4 linked regions of the Arabidopsis thaliana genome follow. The protein of the gene in region 4 interacts with the protein of the main gene of each other region in a pairwise test. Each region holds a gene or a part of one and is shown on either strand. Other genes may lie near its edges.

Region 1 (4,021 bases), on a different chromosome or scaffold from region 4:
TTCTAAAAAAAGTGTCTACTTCTCAAATTATTTTTGCAAATTACTCTCCAACTTATCTCTTTCAATAATCGTGAAATCTTCATTAAGTGTAAAAGTGATACATGATTAAGCTTAAATACAAGTAAACTAAACCAAAACTACTAACCAAACTTAACCACAACTAAACCAAGTATATACACTCTAATAGAATGTGTACGTTCGTTAAAGAACGGTCATGGCATATTTGTATTGGATGTTACTTAAATTTGGTAAATTTGAAAAGAAAAGCATTATCGGTAAAGCTGAAATCACTAAGATTTTTCTTTTTATTAATTTACAATAGACTATCCTTTTTCCATACCATGTAAAAGTGGTTCCTTTATGACTAGAAAGATACCAATGAAAATTCATACTACAATTTAAAGGGGAGATGAACATGAAATTAAACTCAAAGAAAGAAAAAGAGAGATGAACATCGATCAATGCTCTCTTTTTTACTTTCTTTCCTTTTTGTTAAAAACAATGTTCTCTTTTTTTTCTTTTACTTTTCTTCCTTCTTTTCTCCTTTCATTTCTAACACTTTCCTTAGTTTTACTTTTATATTTTATATACGTCAACCAAATATGGGATTAGGTTAATTGAAAGTGGCATATTTTCAGAAAAGTACTTTGCTTTGCTTTATCTTTCCTCAATGTTCCATTCAAAAGACTCCGTCTTTCAATCGAATATCAACGCATGAGAAAATTATGATCCATTTTGAACTTCACTGACGAGCCGGATCATACTAGGACTGGACTTATGGTCGTTGATACTTGAGTGAGATTATAGCTGAGATGGTCAATCCATCGACACTAGATTGGATCATTAATTGATCAGACTTAGCTCATTCGTCCGACCCACTTTACCATTTATATATAGTTTCAATCTGGCCACTTTGCGACAAGACATGGTGTATAAGATATTAGTAATTAAATTTAAAACAATTCGAATACTTATGAGAAGGCTACCGTGAAGAGGACCCACAAGAAGTCTTTAGAGCTGACAAAAGGAAGAAATATGAAATATGAGTAACGATGTCTCTGTCTCAAAAGCTCATACTCCTTTCTCTTTTCCTCTTTTTAACACTGACTTATTACCAAACATTTCTTTTTTTGACGGCTATGTCTTAAAAGTTAGATCACATCTAAAATATATATATACAGTATATAGTTCATCCATTCTAAATTCTAAAGATAAATATTTCAATCTTGATTTCCAAAAAAAAACGATGAGGTCAATCCTAAAGATCAGTATTAATTGGGGGTTTAAACACATACACACGCACAAATCCATCCAAATGTTCTTTGAAAAGAAAATATGTATGGGCCGGGGCAAGACTCCTAGGTATCTAGAGAGTTGCATTTCAAACCTAATGATAATAGATTATTTAAAGTTTTAGAAAAATGGAACTCGTGACTCGTGCACTGAGAAATCATTATCAAATTCGTAAAATATTAGAGAGCAAAAAGTCTGAACAAGACATTTTCCTTTTCATGAGTTACTGCCTTGTTCGTTTTGGATATTTCCTCCGTTTTATAATATAAGTTGTTATAGACCAAATTTTTTGTTTCACACTATAAATTGTTTTCAAGTTTTTATGCAAGTTATATATTACTTTAATACTTTATGATTATTTATATTTTACAGTCTCTTTTATGATTGGCTGAACTTTTTAAAAGTTAATATGCTTAATATGTGTGTTTTTAGCTAAAACAACTTATATTGTGAAACGGAGAGAATATTATTTTTTAGTATCTGTTTCATATTTTTATATCTAGATACTAGTTAATCAAAAAAAAGATCTATAATTTCGACAACCCTGAAATTCTAATTCGTTAATAATCCATGAACATAGACTCAAATTCGGATGTGAATAGATGGATCATGTTTATAGAATCTCTTTCAAGTAAATTTAATCTTATTTTAGTTGGATCACGTTCAAGCATCCACTAGCTTGTCTAAAATTGTTACGAAATAATTAATGTGTATTCATTTATTCTATAGAGTAAGTGGACGAAAAAAAGGGAAAACGTGTATGGTTTTACAGTAACTACTTACGAATTGCACTTTTCAAATAATTAGCTTTTTAAAGAAAGCTTTGTAGCTTGATCCGCATTGGCATTCGTGTTTTACGTGTAGATGTGAATTCAAGACCCAAAAGTAAAGCGATGAATGCGCCTATTACTACATGCTTTAAAAAGTTTTTAACAAATAAATATTTTAATCTCCACTAATTCAGTCACTTTTCTTCTCCAATTCCTGCTAAAAAGTTATACTATCATCTTTCTATAAAAAGACGTCTTCTCTATTTCTTACCCCCAACAAACTTTGGATAAGCTATTTTCCATTCTCTGCACGTTTTCATGGCGACTCAAGATTCTCAAGGGATTAAACTCTTTGGCAAAACTATTGCATTTAACACTCGAACAATAAAAAATGAAGAAGAGACACACCCGCCGGAGCAAGAAGCCACAATAGCCGTTAGATCATCATCATCATCGGATCTGACGGCCGAGAAGCGTCCGGATAAGATCATAGCATGTCCAAGATGCAAGAGCATGGAGACAAAGTTCTGTTACTTCAACAACTACAACGTTAATCAGCCTCGACACTTTTGTAAAGGCTGCCACCGTTACTGGACCGCCGGTGGTGCACTCCGGAACGTTCCCGTCGGCGCCGGTCGTCGGAAGTCCAAACCACCTGGTCGTGTCGTGGTTGGTATGCTTGGAGATGGAAATGGTGTTCGCCAAGTCGAGCTTATAAATGGCTTGCTCGTTGAGGAGTGGCAGCATGCCGCAGCCGCAGCTCACGGTAGTTTCCGGCATGATTTTCCCATGAAGCGGCTCCGGTGTTACTCCGACGGTCAATCGTGCTGATTATAATTATTTACTCTCTTTTTTAAAAAATAATTTGTTTTGGTTTTGGGGTTGAGTGGTTTTCCTCTAAACCCGTTGAAGAACGTGGTGAATTTGGTTGCTATTGGGTACATACAGGCTGGCAAAGTAGTTAATTTGTCATTTGTCAATCAATCGAATCCAATTACTACTTTAATTTACTACTCTCTATACAAGAGGATTCTTTTTAAACAATTTAATTAATATTATCGACCTAGGATTCGTATGCATTAGTATAGTGGCGTGTGTAATAAATTTTGATAGATTTGTCATTTGTGTTTAGAATTCCATATGGTTAACAAGATTTCTCCAATTACTTGTTGGAATACCTTATATAAGTCGGTTGTTGTGTTATTCCATATTTGTAATAGTCTTTTTTTAGATTGTGGATTAATGTTTTGGCATTCATGTGAAAGAGACTTGTTGTTATTTGCCATTTTCATTAATGTTTTAAGCATAAAAATGGTTAATAGATCAAACCTATATATATATATATATAAGATGAAACCTAATTACTTATTTCTTATATTTAAATACACTAAATCAATAGTCACTTTTCAATAACTGCAACTTATTACTTCCTACAAAAAGCCTCCACCTCTCGCTTCCTTTCTTCTCTGATTCAGTTTTCCTGCAACTTTTATGGACTATTTATTTTTTGAAGTTTCTGTATAGATTCACTGACATGGGCCAAAGGCAAAGGTAAATTACTGGTTGCATTTATATATGTTCATTGATTCTAAGTGCCGATGTATCCGGTTAGATTTTGATTATGTTTTGGGTGATTCTGTTTTTTTTTCTCTTAAGTTAATTCTGTTGATTTTATGTTTCCTTTCTTGATAGATCTATTGATGGGAGACTACGATTTCTCTTTTACAGTGCCCTCGGTGTGGTACGTATCATTTCGATAAAATCTTTTTCCTATTATCATTTTTATTTGATCTAAATGGAGTATCAACGAGTATTATTTTGAGATTCTATCAATCATTGTATTTTGTAATATTATTCTTTGTCGTCGTTTGCAATTAGTAGCTAATATTTACCACAAAAAGTTATGCAACAATGCATATGTTTAGGTTATTTCTTTACCTTTTTATTTTTTACAGGAA
Region 2 (5,866 bases), on a different chromosome or scaffold from region 4:
GTTAGAGCTTTGCAATGACCACACCATGGTGCAAAGAACTCTACCAAAACAACTCCATTTGAATTAAGAACCTGCAACAAGAAACAAGTTATCAACACTAACACAGTTTCACATCAATTCTCATTTTCGGTTTACCCAAACAATCACAACAATCAACAAATTGGAGCAATGAATTAGCAGCTAAACCGGATCTATACAGATAAACCAATAGAGATTCTCAGAAACACCAAAAGATGAAATCGATGCAGAGCCCATACCTTGGACTTAAAGTTAGAAGCAGTGAGCTGAACCACAGGTGACGAAGATCCATAAAGAGCACTGCTGAGATCGAAGAATCCAAAACAAATAGTAAGAAGTGTGAGCAACGTTAATGGTGATTTATACATTTTTCTTCTTCCCCTTTCTCTCTTTCTTTTCACTTTCTTCTGTAAAATTGTATCCTTTTCTCTCTCGCGATCCTGCGAAGCAGCAGATTTAAGAACACAAGCTCCGTGGAATTACGTAGTCTAACCAATAATATCCTGACACATCAGCATAAGATGTCGCTTCGTTTTCTTTTGTAACATTAACTAGGCAAGCCTCTGGCTCAGAAAGAGGGTTACTATTTGTGTTGGGTTCCAAAAACTAGTTAGGTTCAACATTTTCTAGTTGCTGCATCAAGGAAATCGAATATACAGTTTGATAAAGAAATAGAAAAATCATGGAACTTGATATGTTGAGAATCTGAAAATTGTGCTAAAGGATGTCAAGTTTTATTAACCAATTCAAAACACTGTTCTTTTCCTATTTTGTTTCAGCCATTGCTGTCTCCGAAACCAAAGAAGAAGAAAAAAAAAAAAAAAAAAAGATAGAACATTTCCAAGCCCTCTTTCCAAAAAAATTAACAAAAAGGGCAGAGAGATCATTTTGAGACCGTTAGATACCCCTGACAGGGAAAGACTCTGCCAGATTGTGAGATCATGATCGTGATCATGTAGATTTATCAGATGAATCCTGCACTTTTGAGCTGTCCAGTTCTGCAGAATCATCGTCTTGTTTCTCAGTCTCTGCATCAGGTTTATCATTGGGCAGGGAGGTTGAATCAGAGCCGTTTGGTGGCAATGAGTCCTCCACTTCTGATTTTTCTGGTTCTGTTGGACTATCGTCTTGTTTCTCAGTCTCCAAGCTTTGAGCTTCTGCAGCAGCGGGTTTACCATTGGATAGGGTAGTCATATCAGAGGGGCTTGGTGGCGATGAGATCCTCAAATTAGTTGAAACAGGTGGAGCATAAGGATAAGGAGTAGGCAGAGAAGACATGGCCAAGCCCGTATTGTTATAAGGGTTTAGCAGCATTGAGTGATCAAATTTGCAGTTTGCTCCAAACTTGCAAAATCCGTAGGCCTTGAAGTTACCACATGCTGGCTGTCCCTGAACACAGCAAAATGAGAGAAATTAGTGTCACCAAAGCTTGTTGGCTTTAACAGAATAAACAGAACGAGTTGCGGAAATGTCAAGTTGGCAAAAAATAACAAAGAAGGACAAGAGACTTACTGGTCTTGCTGGAAGAACAATAGGGTTCAAGAGAGTTGGTGGTGATTGTAACAATCTTTCTTTCGGATGACTGTATTTGCAATCATCACCATATTTACAAGTTCCAGTGTTCATAAAAAACCTACATTCAGCTCTTTCAGAAAAACTGTGATGATGTGATGTCACGGTCACAGCCACCGATGCGCTAGAACTGGAGTCGAGTTGAGTTTTCATATTGTAAATGGGGTTAGATGCAGTCTGCACCACGGTAAAAAGGAAAAGAGAGAATTTTCAGATTAAGACAATCTATTGCAAAATAGGAATGTTGTAAAAGAAAGTGAAATTTGTTAAAAGCAGAATCTCTGTCTATTTATTGTAACTTCACAGAGAGAAAGCAAGGTCTATGCACTGAGAAACTATATTTAAGACTTACCATGTAAGTGGCCCAGCCTTGAGGAGGTAAAAGGCCTTGGGAGGGTGCAACCATGTAGGGCATATAGGCCTGAGACTGAGGAACTTGAGGACGTGGAATAGCTCCATATGTTGCAGGAGGCAAAGACACCATTGTCATTCCACTGGCATAAGGAAAACCAACAGACGGAAAGCTGGACATTGCATATGCAGAGTGGCCATTAGAAGGCTGAGAATGAGGATGAGGATGATGGAATTTGCAGGCAACTCCGAATCGACACAATCCTGTCTGCATGTAATATGGACATGGCTTCTCACCCTGGAGAGAGAAGAAACATATAAAGTTTTCTATCAAGTATGAAACTGGTGGATGAAAAGCAGGCTATATGCAACGATGTAATCTTACCTGCCGCATAGGCAAACCGAGAACATTGAACAGCACGGGTCCAGCACCATTCCTGTCTTTAGGGTGGTGATATTTACATGTTGGGCCATACTTACAGGCTCCTGTCTTCAGAAAATACTGCAAAGAAAATGCATACAGAAGAGGAAAATGTTCGTTAAACATCTTCAGAGAAAAGTAAAACAATACGGTGCATCAACTATCCAAACTACTGTATTAACACTTTCCAAATAAGGAAAGACTCAAGACAAGGTATGTTTTGCAGCATAATGTAAGCAGTGCACCTCACAGTCAGGCTGTCCAACTCTCTCAGGCAATTGGTCTCTGTAATAAATAATACCCTGCAAAATGTTACAAACTGTAAGCTCGAGTATCAGGAAAGATGAAGAGAAGATTCAGCCATATAAACTAAGTTTCTCACCTGTGGAAGATTAGTAAGAGGATGATTGTATCGACAAGAGTTTCCATAGCCACACTGACCAGTTCTCAGAAAGAACTGGCAATCTCGCTCACCAGGACGATCAGGATATGGACTAGATTGCTCCATATTGTCTTCATTAACTTTCATCCTCCTGAAGGTATCTACAAAATCATAACACCAAGAACATTATATATCTAAATAACAAGAAAAACCAAACTCAAATCATAAGAATCCACATTCCAAAGACAAAAAGACAATGTCAAACTTTAAATCCGACAAAGAGCAATCAGAATCAGAACAATATCACACAATGAAAAAAAACATGATCTTTAACTTCCATAAATGTAGAAGAAGCATTCGGAATCAATGATCCGACAAGACGAATCCAACAAGATAACTCCAAAAAGACAAAACTCTAAATTTTCGAACTTTTAAGACTTGAATGATCAGAACTCTCAGAAAAAATAAACGAAATCACAATAAGACTTGAATGATCAAAAACAACAACAGAAATTATATGATCTTCAAACACATTACGGAAAAAACCCGTTTCGTTGGATCTTCAATGAAAAAAAAGAGAGTAACTACCTTCAATTTTGTCGGGAGATCGAATCGACCCAGTAGAGTTCTGAACCTGCTGCTGAGTTTCCGACATGGCTCGTTATGAAACAAACACAGTCACAGACACAAAATCAAAACTCGTCTCTAATCCTCTGAGAAAAAATCGTTTATGAGTTGTATGTAAGTAGAGACGATGATCACAATGATCAAACAAACGAAAAGGAAACAAACACAAAAGGAAAATAAGATTTTTCCTTTTTTCCGATGAAAGATCAAACGAAGAACAAAATGTGAAAACTTGAAAAGAATAAAAAACGATCTCTTAAATTTAACTTTTTTTTTGTGTCCCAAAGATAGATTTATCGTTTGAACAAATCCAAAAGAAAAGAGAAAAATCTCAGCCCAAATATTCCAATAGGAATGAAATTTTGCCTTATTCTCTGCTTGGCGATTTCCTTTCTTTTTCCCCAGAATCTGAGATTTTCGTGGGAAAATTTTCGGATCTTCCTTTTTGGTTTTTTGCCTCTTTTTTTTTCTCCCAATGTAATGAAGAGTTTCTTCTTCAATGTGAAAACGAGATCAAATAATAATATAATAACAAATATTGCATTTATATAATATAATGAAAATAAAAATAACAGTGCTGAGTAATGAGTCTTTGCCCCCCCCCCCCGTGTACGGATTAATAAATTCTGCCGGTCCATCTGAAATGACTATATTACCCCTATATGTTCCTTTAACTCGTTTGCGCGTGGTTTAATTTTCAATGTGTTGGTTCGATCTGAGCCGTTGGATACAAACCTTGTGGGACCCCCTCTATTCTTCTTCTTTGTTTGGGAACCTTATTTAATAAAAATTAATTTTTTTTCTCTTATTGCATTTTAATTTAAACAAATGAAATTATGCTGCCTAAAAAAGCTATTATATGTTAATTAATCTTAATAGAGTTAATACTGAACTTTTCAATTGTATAATGTAATCTTAATGTAGTATTTATTTTTTCATAATTAATAACTCAACATACTTTTCTAAAATAATTTATTTCTAGCACATAGTTTTAGCACTAAATTCAATAAAAAATAGTGATAAACTTATGATTTAATATGAATGTAAAGTGATTATAATTTCTTAAATGTTATCTCTAGTTATCAACATATTCTGATCTTTTTATAAATAAGTCTATTAGTGTTGTAAATTGTTTATTTTTTTGGCCAAATTAAGGTTTGTTAACATTTAATATGCAATCACACATGACACACCTAATTTGAAAGCAGTTTATTCGCGTATCTAAATGACGGTGCGTGGGTCCTTTTCTTAATTATTATATCTTCTCACTAAAATTCTACAGATTTCCAACTATATTATGCTGAATGAATAAATGTATTTATTGACTCCTGATCTCTATAAACAAATTGATGGTATCATTAAAAGATACTTAATGTTGATCCAAATTGTAACTAATGCTGTAAATTAATTAAGACTTACTGTATAACTTTTTTTATGAAAATAATTATGTCTCATTGACATATAAGCTCAATTTTTTACCAAGATGTTATTATGAGAACAAACAGAATATAATGAAACATGTATTTGATTAGAGATGAAATTATCTAAGACAAGTTTGTAGTCTATTACATCATTATTATATTTTATTCTTCTACAAATGAATCTACTATTTGATAAACGACTCTAATTTTGTTTAGCATTTGAATTATACCCCATTTTACAATTGACTCCACAACAAATAGTTTTATTCACAATACAAAAAACTACGTTGAAACTTGAAAGTAGAAACTAAACTATTTCTTCTATGAGACATTATAAATTCAGAATTTAGGGGAAATATAAATATATTATTATTAAGTTAAAGAGAGAGAAAGAAAAGAAATTGATGGGTGTTTTCGTCATTTAGTGTGGAGTAAAGGATAAAAAGGAAAGCGTGAGCTACACGGTATTTTATTTAATGAGAAAGGTAAAAAATACTGATTTATAAAGATTAAGGGAGCTTTTTTTTTTTTAATAAAATAGAGCCTCATACTAAAATGTTCTTCGTACGCTAATCTGCGGTTTGGACCAGTTTAATTCTGCTGTAGGGCCCACGCTGAATCCTTCCTTAATTTGTAGCTGCTTAATGACCAATACTGTTGTACTCAGTACGATTGATTAAGAATGCACACTAATTGCAAAATTCAGGCCACCAGTTTGTTTTCTTTTACGTGAATTTTAGTTTAGTTTTTATAATACTTTCATATAATAAGTTTATGTTTATATTAGAAAACGTTATGAAATTTAACATGCAAGAAATTAGATTGTAAGTTAAATTATTTTTGTGAAAGGAACTTAACTCAAATAATCATGAACTATAATATTTTGGATTTCTATCCATCAGTTCGAATCTATATCTAAATCATGAGTTCAATAAGTTCGCTTCCAAACTAATACAAATAAATTAGGTTTAAGAGTTAAAATTTTAAAAACAAATCGAATGTGAATGTTGAATCAACTCCACTGTCTAATTACAAACAAAAATACATAAATTTAATGATCATCTAATTAGTTGT
Region 3 (4,505 bases), 2.8 Mb from region 4:
GTTTGTCCTAATTTGTTTTTATCACTTGTTTAATACATGTGGTAGATAATAAAAAATGTTCAAAACGCAATACCATACTTGAAAAAAAAAAATGTTAGACCTAGTTATAAGACAAGACTGAACTAATTAAGTGATCGGTTAGTTGGTAAAACAAAATAGTATTTCGAACTTAATTTTCACCTAAAGTTTAAACGTGTCTACTAATGACTCGATAAACTAAAAAAAACAGTCTTTTTTTTCTTCCAAAAAGTCGTTATCAAAGCAGAATTCATCTGTCGTCGAATTTTGAATGAGTAGGTGCAATGTCACATTTCCAATATTAAAAGAAAACGAGAAAGAAAAAAACAAAATACTCCTCATAAAACGATAGAAATGAAATAAAACGAAGCAAGAGTAATAAATTCGACAGAAAAAGGAGTAATTTACTAATTATAGTAAGAGAATCTTGCTAAATATAGAATCCAAGAAGAAGTCACTCTCTGTGGAACAGAAACCTTGTGTCTGCTACAAATCAGCAGATGACACTTACAGTTTACGTTTCATCATGCATGTGAGCGACACTATAGGGAGAATTCGGTATTGGCTTCCTTTGTTGTCCCTACCTTATTTAATTACTCCTGATAACTATTTTTCTGTGTATTTCATCGTATCGAAATATCCAAATTTCATTCTTCATGGCTGATTTAACTAGTGTTTAATTATAATTATACTTTATACTTTTTTTTGGTTCTTAATCACACATGCTTTCGGGATCTTGAATACGAAATTTTAAACCGTCTATCATTTGTTTCCTGAACCGGGTATTGCAAATAGTTAAATCTTAGTCAACTATTTTTTCGAGTTTTTTTTAAAAATAGTTCTGAAAGACAAAAATACATGAGTTTGTGAAAATGTTTGACAGTTGGCTATAATAATTGGTTGCAATGCTTTATACTTTTACCAAATTTAAATTATTCAATTGGCTAGAAGTGGAGCTGTGGTACCGTCCACATGAGGTGGTGTCGTGGTGAGACATTAATATATGAACTTTTGTTACGATATGAAAGCACCCGACACATACATTCTTCGTATTATCTTGCCTTATATGAATAAACATAAAATAACCAATACTAAATTTGAAACTGTGATACACTAAAGAAAATATCTTTGGTTACATCCAGCTCTGGCTTCTGTTCAAAGTTTTTCTTTTGAATTTATTTAAAGGTTAATTAAGATCACCACCTAACCCACTTGTACAACGGTTCTGCAGTTTTTGCCATCGAATCCCATTGTTTAATTCGCATATTTGTATGATCTCTACTTTTTTTTTAAAGTTAAATAGATTAATTAACAAAATGAAGTTTATTTACAACAAAATAAATGAAAAGTACAAATACGTTAAAAAACAAATTGTTTGCCAGCCAAAAATTAATTAAATACGTAATTTTCGAAGGTGTAATATTCCAACTTGTTTTTGTATATTTGTTTAGCTTATGGAGTTATGGTTGTGTTATTATATATTGAATGGGCTATTTCGTGTTGACAAATAAGCTCTTTAGTTAAATATTATTATGTTCTTGATTAAACAACAAATTAAGAACCGGCCAAACCATTGAACAGTCGTTTTCTGGTCTTTTTCATTTTATTGGTTACACCTTCTTTGTCATAAAATAGAAATTATGTTATACTTTCTTTCATGTATCGACACGTGCATTTGGTTAGTCTTAATCCCATTTCAATTTTATATGATTTATCATATTAGCAGAAAACAAATATGCTAATTATCACATAGATAAGCCATACTAAAAGTATTTATCTGACCTTAGGTTAAAAAAAATATTAAAATATAGCTTATAAGAAACATTCACTACTGAGTTGTCATATTTCTACTGGCCGACTTAGATTGCAACAACTAAAATATATTTTTTATAAATCATTTGACATAGGCAAAACAAAAACAAATATCTCTGTAACTTTTTCCTCAATTTTTTCTTTTAAAAAAACACTTTTTTATACACCTTTTCCTGTTGAATGTATTATTATTCCTATTGATCATCACGTGAAATATAGAAAAATAAAATAAAAAAGCAAAATCCACTTTTGTGTTTTCCTTTTCGTTTACGACCAAAGAGATCCACTTTATGCTCTCTTCATTTTCTCCATGTAATAATTTTTCTCGAGAGATTTCTGAAAATAAAGTCGTTTCTTTTTTTTTTTGCCTTGGTCACTCAAGACTCTCTTCTTCACTCTCTGTTTTTTGTCCTCTTCTAAAATTTAGAGAAAAAAACGAAAGTTTTCACCAAAAACAGAGGAGGAGCTATGTCATCGTCGACGATGTACAGAGGAGTTAATATGTTTTCACCGGCAAACACAAACTGGATTTTTCAAGAAGTCAGAGAAGCCACGTGGACGGCGGAGGAGAACAAACGGTTCGAGAAAGCTCTCGCTTATCTGGACGACAAAGACAATCTTGAGAGCTGGTCCAAGATCGCAGATTTGATTCCCGGCAAAACAGTAGCTGACGTCATTAAACGATACAAGGAGCTAGAGGATGATGTCAGCGACATCGAAGCCGGACTTATCCCCATTCCGGGATACGGCGGCGACGCCTCCTCCGCTGCAAACAGTGACTATTTCTTTGGTCTAGAAAACTCCAGCTACGGTTATGATTACGTCGTTGGAGGAAAGAGGAGTTCGCCGGCGATGACTGATTGTTTTAGGTCTCCGATGCCGGAAAAGGAGAGGAAGAAAGGAGTTCCGTGGACCGAGGACGAACACCTGTAACTACCAAATTTCTTCACTACTTCTAATTAATGTTATAAAGATTTGTTCTAAAAAAATCGATATTTTATGTTATAATACTATAGAATTTAAGTTTCTAAGCCTAACAATTTGTTTATTTTGGTAAATAATTTTGGAACTAAATCTTGTTTTGTGGTATTTTGAGGTAAATATATCTCTTTTATTAATATTTACTTGAAATTCTCTGTTTTTATATGAACTCACTGAGGAGAATATTTCTTTTGATAATTAAAATGCCTAGGATTTATACTTTTCTTACAATTTATATCTATTTTCAAATACTTTCTTGAAATTATTTATCTTATGTGAAGTTAACTAAATATAATATTGATTTACTTTTCTTTGTTTGACAGACGATTTCTGATGGGTTTGAAGAAATATGGAAAAGGAGATTGGAGAAACATAGCAAAAAGCTTTGTGACGACTCGAACGCCGACGCAAGTCGCTTCACACGCTCAGAAATATTTTCTTCGACAACTCACAGATGGTAAAGACAAAAGACGATCAAGTATTCACGATATCACCACTGTTAACATCCCTGACGCAGACGCATCCGCAACCGCCACGACCGCTGACGTAGCACTCTCTCCTACTCCAGCCAATTCTTTTGACGTTTTCCTTCAGCCAAATCCTCATTACAGTTTCGCGTCTGCGTCTGCGTCTAGCTATTATAATGCGTTTCCGCAGTGGAGTTAAATCACTTAGAAATTATCTAGAGTTTGTGGTCTCCTATAGATTTGTTACATACATTTTCTACGTACATATTACTGCAGAATTGTTGTAAATATTTGTATGAAAAGGTTTGTGTGATTCTGCTGTCCATATATTAGGTCTGGTTGGTTGTAATTTTCAGTGTTCCGAGTTTTATAATACCAATATATGATATATATATATGATATATATATATATATATATATATGTGTGACTTTACATACTATATTCTTTAATAATCATATAATTATAATGTAAATACCGTTGACTTTAATGTCAATGCTTGGTGTGAGTCGCTTTTTCTTCCCGACAACTTAGGATTAGTTCGAATCAGCATCTAATTCAGTTTTTTTTTGTTCAAATTAAAAGTAAAACTGACGAAGGATCTGACTATTAAATACTACTTTTTTACTTAATATTCTTCCCATGGCTTCGCTGATCGTTCAACATAACAGAAGAATTATATTCCATTTTCGTGGTTCCATTTACCTCCAATTATTATCATGAACCTGACGGGTGTTGCGTCCCAAATGCTTCGAGCTTTCAATTTGTTTTTTTTTTGTTTAACTAAAAAAAACGAAAAGAAAAGGGAAAACAAAAAAACAACGTCGGCTTACAAAGCCCAAAGAAGAAGAAATAGTTAATGCCCATTAAACTGTGCCCCAATAAGATCCCTTAAACCCCGTAAAAATCCATGATTTTCAAGCCCAGTAGTGATTTGGAGTGTACCGGTGATTTGGAGTCTACTAAAATGTTAAATTCATAAATTGCAAAAAGTTGTAAACTACAGTATTAGGATTACGACCTCTTAAAAATAGAGATACAAAAGAGTATAATATGAAGTCGCACCACATGTTTTTCATATTTCAAATTGCAACCAATCGTAGAGAGTTATAACTAGTAAGACTTCCATCGCCGTACCTAAAACTAGATAAAAGTTGATTAAAAGCAAGTACACTTCCTTTGTCTTAACATTAAAACCAAAAAAAAAAAGTACACTTCCTTTGTCTTTT
Region 4 (4,445 bases):
TAAGTGACCCAAAATTAAGGCCCAAACGTGACCCATTATTTCCTAAGTTGTTGTGTCGAGAAAGACAAATTGGGCCGATGTTTTTAAGTTGCGGTGACGAATTGATTGAGAGAGAGGGACAAAATGGTGTGACAAATGGATGTATTTATTTGATTTTTTTTTTTTGCAATTAGCAAGTAGTTTGGTTTTTGAAGAAACTTTGCAAGTTGTTTATTACACACGATTATAAGAGGTATGAGCTTTGAGTAAATTCGATTTAGAAACTCGGAAGGTTGGAGAAATCTATCATAAACTTATAATTCACTACTCAAACATTCCAATTAAAATGCTAGAATTAACTACAATATATGCACGGTTTCAAACGAATGTTATATAGTAAGACTTTTGTCATACGCACGCACATAAGAATAAGACAAGTAGTCATATGAATAGAGAATAGTATGTAGTATATGTGATACTAATTGTTGTTAACGATAGGTTCTAAGTTCCGACAATGAGGTCCCAAGTTGTCTCCTCCTTATCCAAATTCTCAAGTATATTCCAATGTAAATTTCTAGAAACGACAAAACATAAAGGTAATAATCCATCACCAAAACATTATATTTGCATAATTTGGGTCAAGTTCGGCAGCTATAACATCAAGCTCCACGAAGCTTCCTATTTCAATTCACACCGCGACTAAATTAACAAACAACTGCAAAAAAACTATAAAGTCGATTTCTCTCTTTATCATAAAAATTCAGATCAAGTCCAGATCCAATTGATCTGAATTTTATAATAGGAACAAATCATGCGTTACGATGTCTTTTATATATTTTCTTGTTTTCTTTTTTTGGTTTAATATTAGTGGTCATATCTTTTATTCTAGACTTGACTGTTATCATCTAAAACGACAGAAAAAAATGAAGTCGTCAGTGCACGAAAATTATTTAGCTAAAAGCCTAAAAGATGTGTATGAAATGATACGACTTATATAACTTGCATTCTTATATCGATAAAGAATCCTTATTGACAACAACAAAAAGTCATGTTTGACCACAAATATTTCGTATTATAATTAATTTGGCTACTAAGGGACTTTTAATAGTAAAAGGAAAAGACCATGATCTTATAAAACATTACGTTGAATCGATCATAATTAGTTTATAATATGATAGAAAACGTAAGTGATGATGATCATAAAACGGGGAACAAGCCCACGTCATGCTTGCATACACACCTACCTCAACTTTACATTTAAAGATTTTAAAATAGAAGAGGATTCATGGGCATTATTTGCTAGTGAATCAAACTTATGAATTATAAATTAAGTCTGTAATGAAAGCGGCTCAATGGGTACTTAATTAAGGATTAAGCTAGTGGTTAAATAGTTGTCCTTAACACATATTTTTATGTAACGGGGAAACTCAAACTAAAGCGCAAACGCTTTCTTTGCGAACTCCAATGTTTTTATTTATGTGAATGTAGTATTATTAGTCGAGAGTATTTATAATTAGTGACTATGATTGGCGATTGCAACTTTAAATGACGTCATCCATCATGACGCAAAGCTTCGCCTGAAGAAGGAAATTAATCAGCTGCGGAGATGCTCACCGTAGTTTCATCAAACTGTCCAATCACCAGTCAAAACTACAACTTCCGCCCCAAGAAATGCTGACTTATCTTCAGCAAGGTTACAATAATGTGTCAATTTCAATATCATAAAAAAGTAGTGGCTGCTGAGATTTTTCTTTTTAAATCTTAGTGGTAAATCTTAGTGGTAAGTAAAGGAACAAAAGCGATAAGCTACACTGAGAAGCAGGAGATTACGGTTTGACATATAAAGGCATTTCCATCTACGAGAAATCCACAAAATTTCTCAAACAAAAAAAATATTAATATTATATTATAATTTAATTATTTAATTAAAAAAGTATTTTTGTTAAAAAATTGAACCAATAGTAAGATGAGAATTGTCATGATGGGTTGTAAAGTATCTCAAAGTTTCTCAAGTAAGAAACTTTCTACACTCTCTTTCCCAATGGAGATGGTCTAAAGTCGGTCAACAATTCACAAAAGGTTTAAGTGACGCAAGCAATGACAACATCTAAGTCGACTATCCAATAATATTACGCCACGTATATATCCAGCTGGCTGCGGTCAGCGTAGAAAAGAAAACGGTCTGTTTTGCCGCACGTGCTTGAAAATCCCCTCGTGTCATCTCTTTTCTGTTTTTTGTGTTTTTTCAATTTAAATTAATTAAAACATTTCGGCGATTTTCGTCCTTATAAAACCTTCGTCGCCTCACTCACATATCCTCGATTACAATCTTGAGCAGACGAAGAAAACCCAAAAAAAATCCAGATCCAGCTGAAATTGAATTTTCAACCAACGAAGAAGAGATTTTTCCAAGAGCAACAGACAAGAAGAAGAGAATGAAGTCGGAGCTAAATTTACCAGCTGGGTTCCGATTCCATCCAACGGACGAGGAGCTTGTGAAATTCTACTTGTGCCGGAAATGTGCTTCCGAGCAGATCTCGGCTCCGGTTATCGCCGAGATTGATCTCTACAAGTTCAATCCTTGGGAGCTTCCAGGTACACCTATGGGCTTCTTCTAATTATTTTTCGCGAAATCATGTGTCTTCGAGAATCGTTGTTTATTGAGATGTTTGTTCTTCTTTCAGAGATGTCTCTGTACGGAGAGAAAGAGTGGTACTTCTTCTCACCTAGAGATCGGAAATACCCAAACGGTTCGCGTCCTAACCGGGCAGCAGGAACCGGTTATTGGAAAGCTACCGGAGCAGATAAACCGATTGGTAAACCGAAGACGTTGGGTATCAAGAAAGCACTCGTCTTCTACGCAGGGAAAGCTCCAAAAGGGATTAAGACCAATTGGATAATGCATGAGTATCGTCTCGCTAATGTTGATAGATCAGCTTCTGTTAACAAAAAGAACAACCTACGAGTAAGTTCTGTTTCTTATTAACTTATGTATCATCTTTTCGTGAATGATGATTTAGATTATTAACTTTGTTGTGGTGGGTTTTGCTGTACAGCTTGATGATTGGGTTTTATGTCGAATATACAACAAGAAAGGAACCATGGAGAAGTATTTCCCCGCGGATGAGAAGCCGAGGACCACGACAATGGCTGAACAGTCATCATCACCTTTTGATACATCAGACTCGACTTACCCGACATTGCAAGAGGATGATTCCAGCAGCTCAGGTGGTCACGGTCACGTGGTGTCACCGGATGTTTTGGAGGTTCAGAGCGAGCCTAAATGGGGAGAGCTTGAGGATGCTTTGGAAGCTTTTGATACTTCAATGTTTGGTAGTTCCATGGAGTTGTTGCAGCCTGACGCTTTTGTCCCTCAGTTCTTGTATCAGTCTGATTATTTCACTTCCTTCCAGGATCCGCCTGAGCAGAAACCATTCTTGAATTGGAGTTTTGCTCCACAGGGGTAAAAACGGAAGAGACCAAAAAAGGTGTTTGCTAGTAGTACTGTGATGTGCCAGAGAGAAGAGTCTCATCTCAACTCATCCCTGGCTCTTAGTAGTAAAAGAAGATTGTAGAATGTTAATAGCTTTTAGCATCAATGTCTCATTAGCAGGCACATTCTTGTTCTTTCATGAGAAGTTTATATGAAAACTAAAAATTTATATTCAAATTCTTCAAGATGTTGCACTTATGTAGATACTGATATTAAATAACAACCTAACCTTTATGAGATATCATGCTCTCCGGAAGCATTTTTTGATGAGTATCATCAGCTGAATCGAGGCGATTTCCTCACAGCTGTTATTCCTATGTCTCTGAGACTTTTGATTCTCGTTTTCTTGACCTGAGGTTTCTTTTTGGAAGACTTCTCTCTTTCCTTCTGTTCAAGCTGTGTGGAGGGTTTTTCAGATCCATTATTCCCACGAGGAGTCTTCATTTTGGGATCCTCTTTGCATAATCCTTTGCTTATACCTTCGAGTTCACATCCTGGAGATACAGAATATGGAACCACGGTTTCATCACATGAATCGATGATCTCAGAGAGCTGGCTTTGTAACTTTTGGGCAGCCTTCCACAGTTCTCTGCAGCTTTCCTGTGGATAAAGAAAAGGAGACAACAAAAAAACATTCAGAACCTGTTTTTCATCAGCTCAAAAACATATCAGTGACATGACGTAACAGGGATTTTTGTCCTCACCATTGATAAAGGCAAACGAGAAACATCATCAATTTCTGAAACAGCTTTGTTCTGCTGGTCTTTCTCTTTGCACTGTTTTAGCATTTTCCTATTTTTCCAACCCCAAAGAGAAACATGAAAATCATTAAGCTAATTCAAAGATGAATAGAAAAACAGGCAACAAAAGGGATCAGAGCTTACTCTAGAGCAATGATATTGCTGCATGCTTCGGTTTGGCACTCCCAAAGTTTTTTATATGCTTCACTCGTGACTTCCACATTTTCTTTCGT

What was found.
Region 1: the proteins of ATAF2 (region 4) and AT2G34140 interact in a two-hybrid assay, tested with the Arabidopsis thaliana proteins (one large-scale study listed by BioGRID).
Region 2: the proteins of ATAF2 (region 4) and ZFN2 interact in a two-hybrid assay, tested with the Arabidopsis thaliana proteins (one large-scale study listed by BioGRID).
Region 3: the proteins of ATAF2 (region 4) and AT5G01200 interact in a two-hybrid assay, tested with the Arabidopsis thaliana proteins (one large-scale study listed by BioGRID).

What each region holds. Positions count from the first base shown.
Region 1 is NC_003071.7:14,413,061-14,417,081, reverse strand, and holds AT2G34140 (Dof-type zinc finger DNA-binding family protein), read left to right. Parts: upstream 1-2,293; 5' UTR 2,294-2,381; coding exon 2,382-2,894; 3' UTR 2,895-3,388; downstream 3,389-4,021. UniProt on the Arabidopsis thaliana protein: Transcription factor that binds specifically to a 5'-AA[AG]G-3' consensus core sequence. Transcriptional repressor of 'CONSTANS' expression. Regulates a photoperiodic flowering response.
Region 2 is NC_003071.7:13,965,021-13,970,886, forward strand, and holds ZFN2 (zinc finger nuclease 2), read right to left. Parts: upstream 3,938-5,866; 5' UTR 3,400-3,937; coding exon 3,333-3,399; intron 3,006-3,332; exon of another isoform or gene 2,906-3,005; coding exon 2,745-2,905; intron 2,665-2,744; coding exon 2,608-2,664; intron 2,444-2,607; coding exon 2,327-2,443; intron 2,240-2,326; coding exon 1,943-2,239; intron 1,768-1,942; coding exon 1,531-1,767; intron 1,408-1,530; coding exon 970-1,407; 3' UTR 694-969; downstream 1-693. Other genes in the region: PDIL2-3 (PDI-like 2-3), read right to left, coding at 1-71, 258-386.
Region 3 is NC_003076.8:74,818-79,322, forward strand, and holds AT5G01200 (Duplicated homeodomain-like superfamily protein), read left to right. Parts: upstream 1-2,054; 5' UTR 2,055-2,298; coding exon 2,299-2,759; intron 2,760-3,134; coding exon 3,135-3,477; 3' UTR 3,478-3,726; downstream 3,727-4,505.
Region 4 is NC_003076.8:2,858,114-2,862,558, reverse strand, and holds ATAF2 (NAC (No Apical Meristem) domain transcriptional regulator superfamily protein), read left to right. Parts: upstream 1-2,000; 5' UTR 2,001-2,414; coding exon 2,415-2,574; intron 2,575-2,663; coding exon 2,664-2,944; intron 2,945-3,035; coding exon 3,036-3,446; 3' UTR 3,447-3,710; downstream 3,711-4,445. Other genes in the region: AT5G08780 (winged-helix DNA-binding transcription factor family protein), read right to left, coding at 3,749-4,072, 4,177-4,264, 4,357-4,445.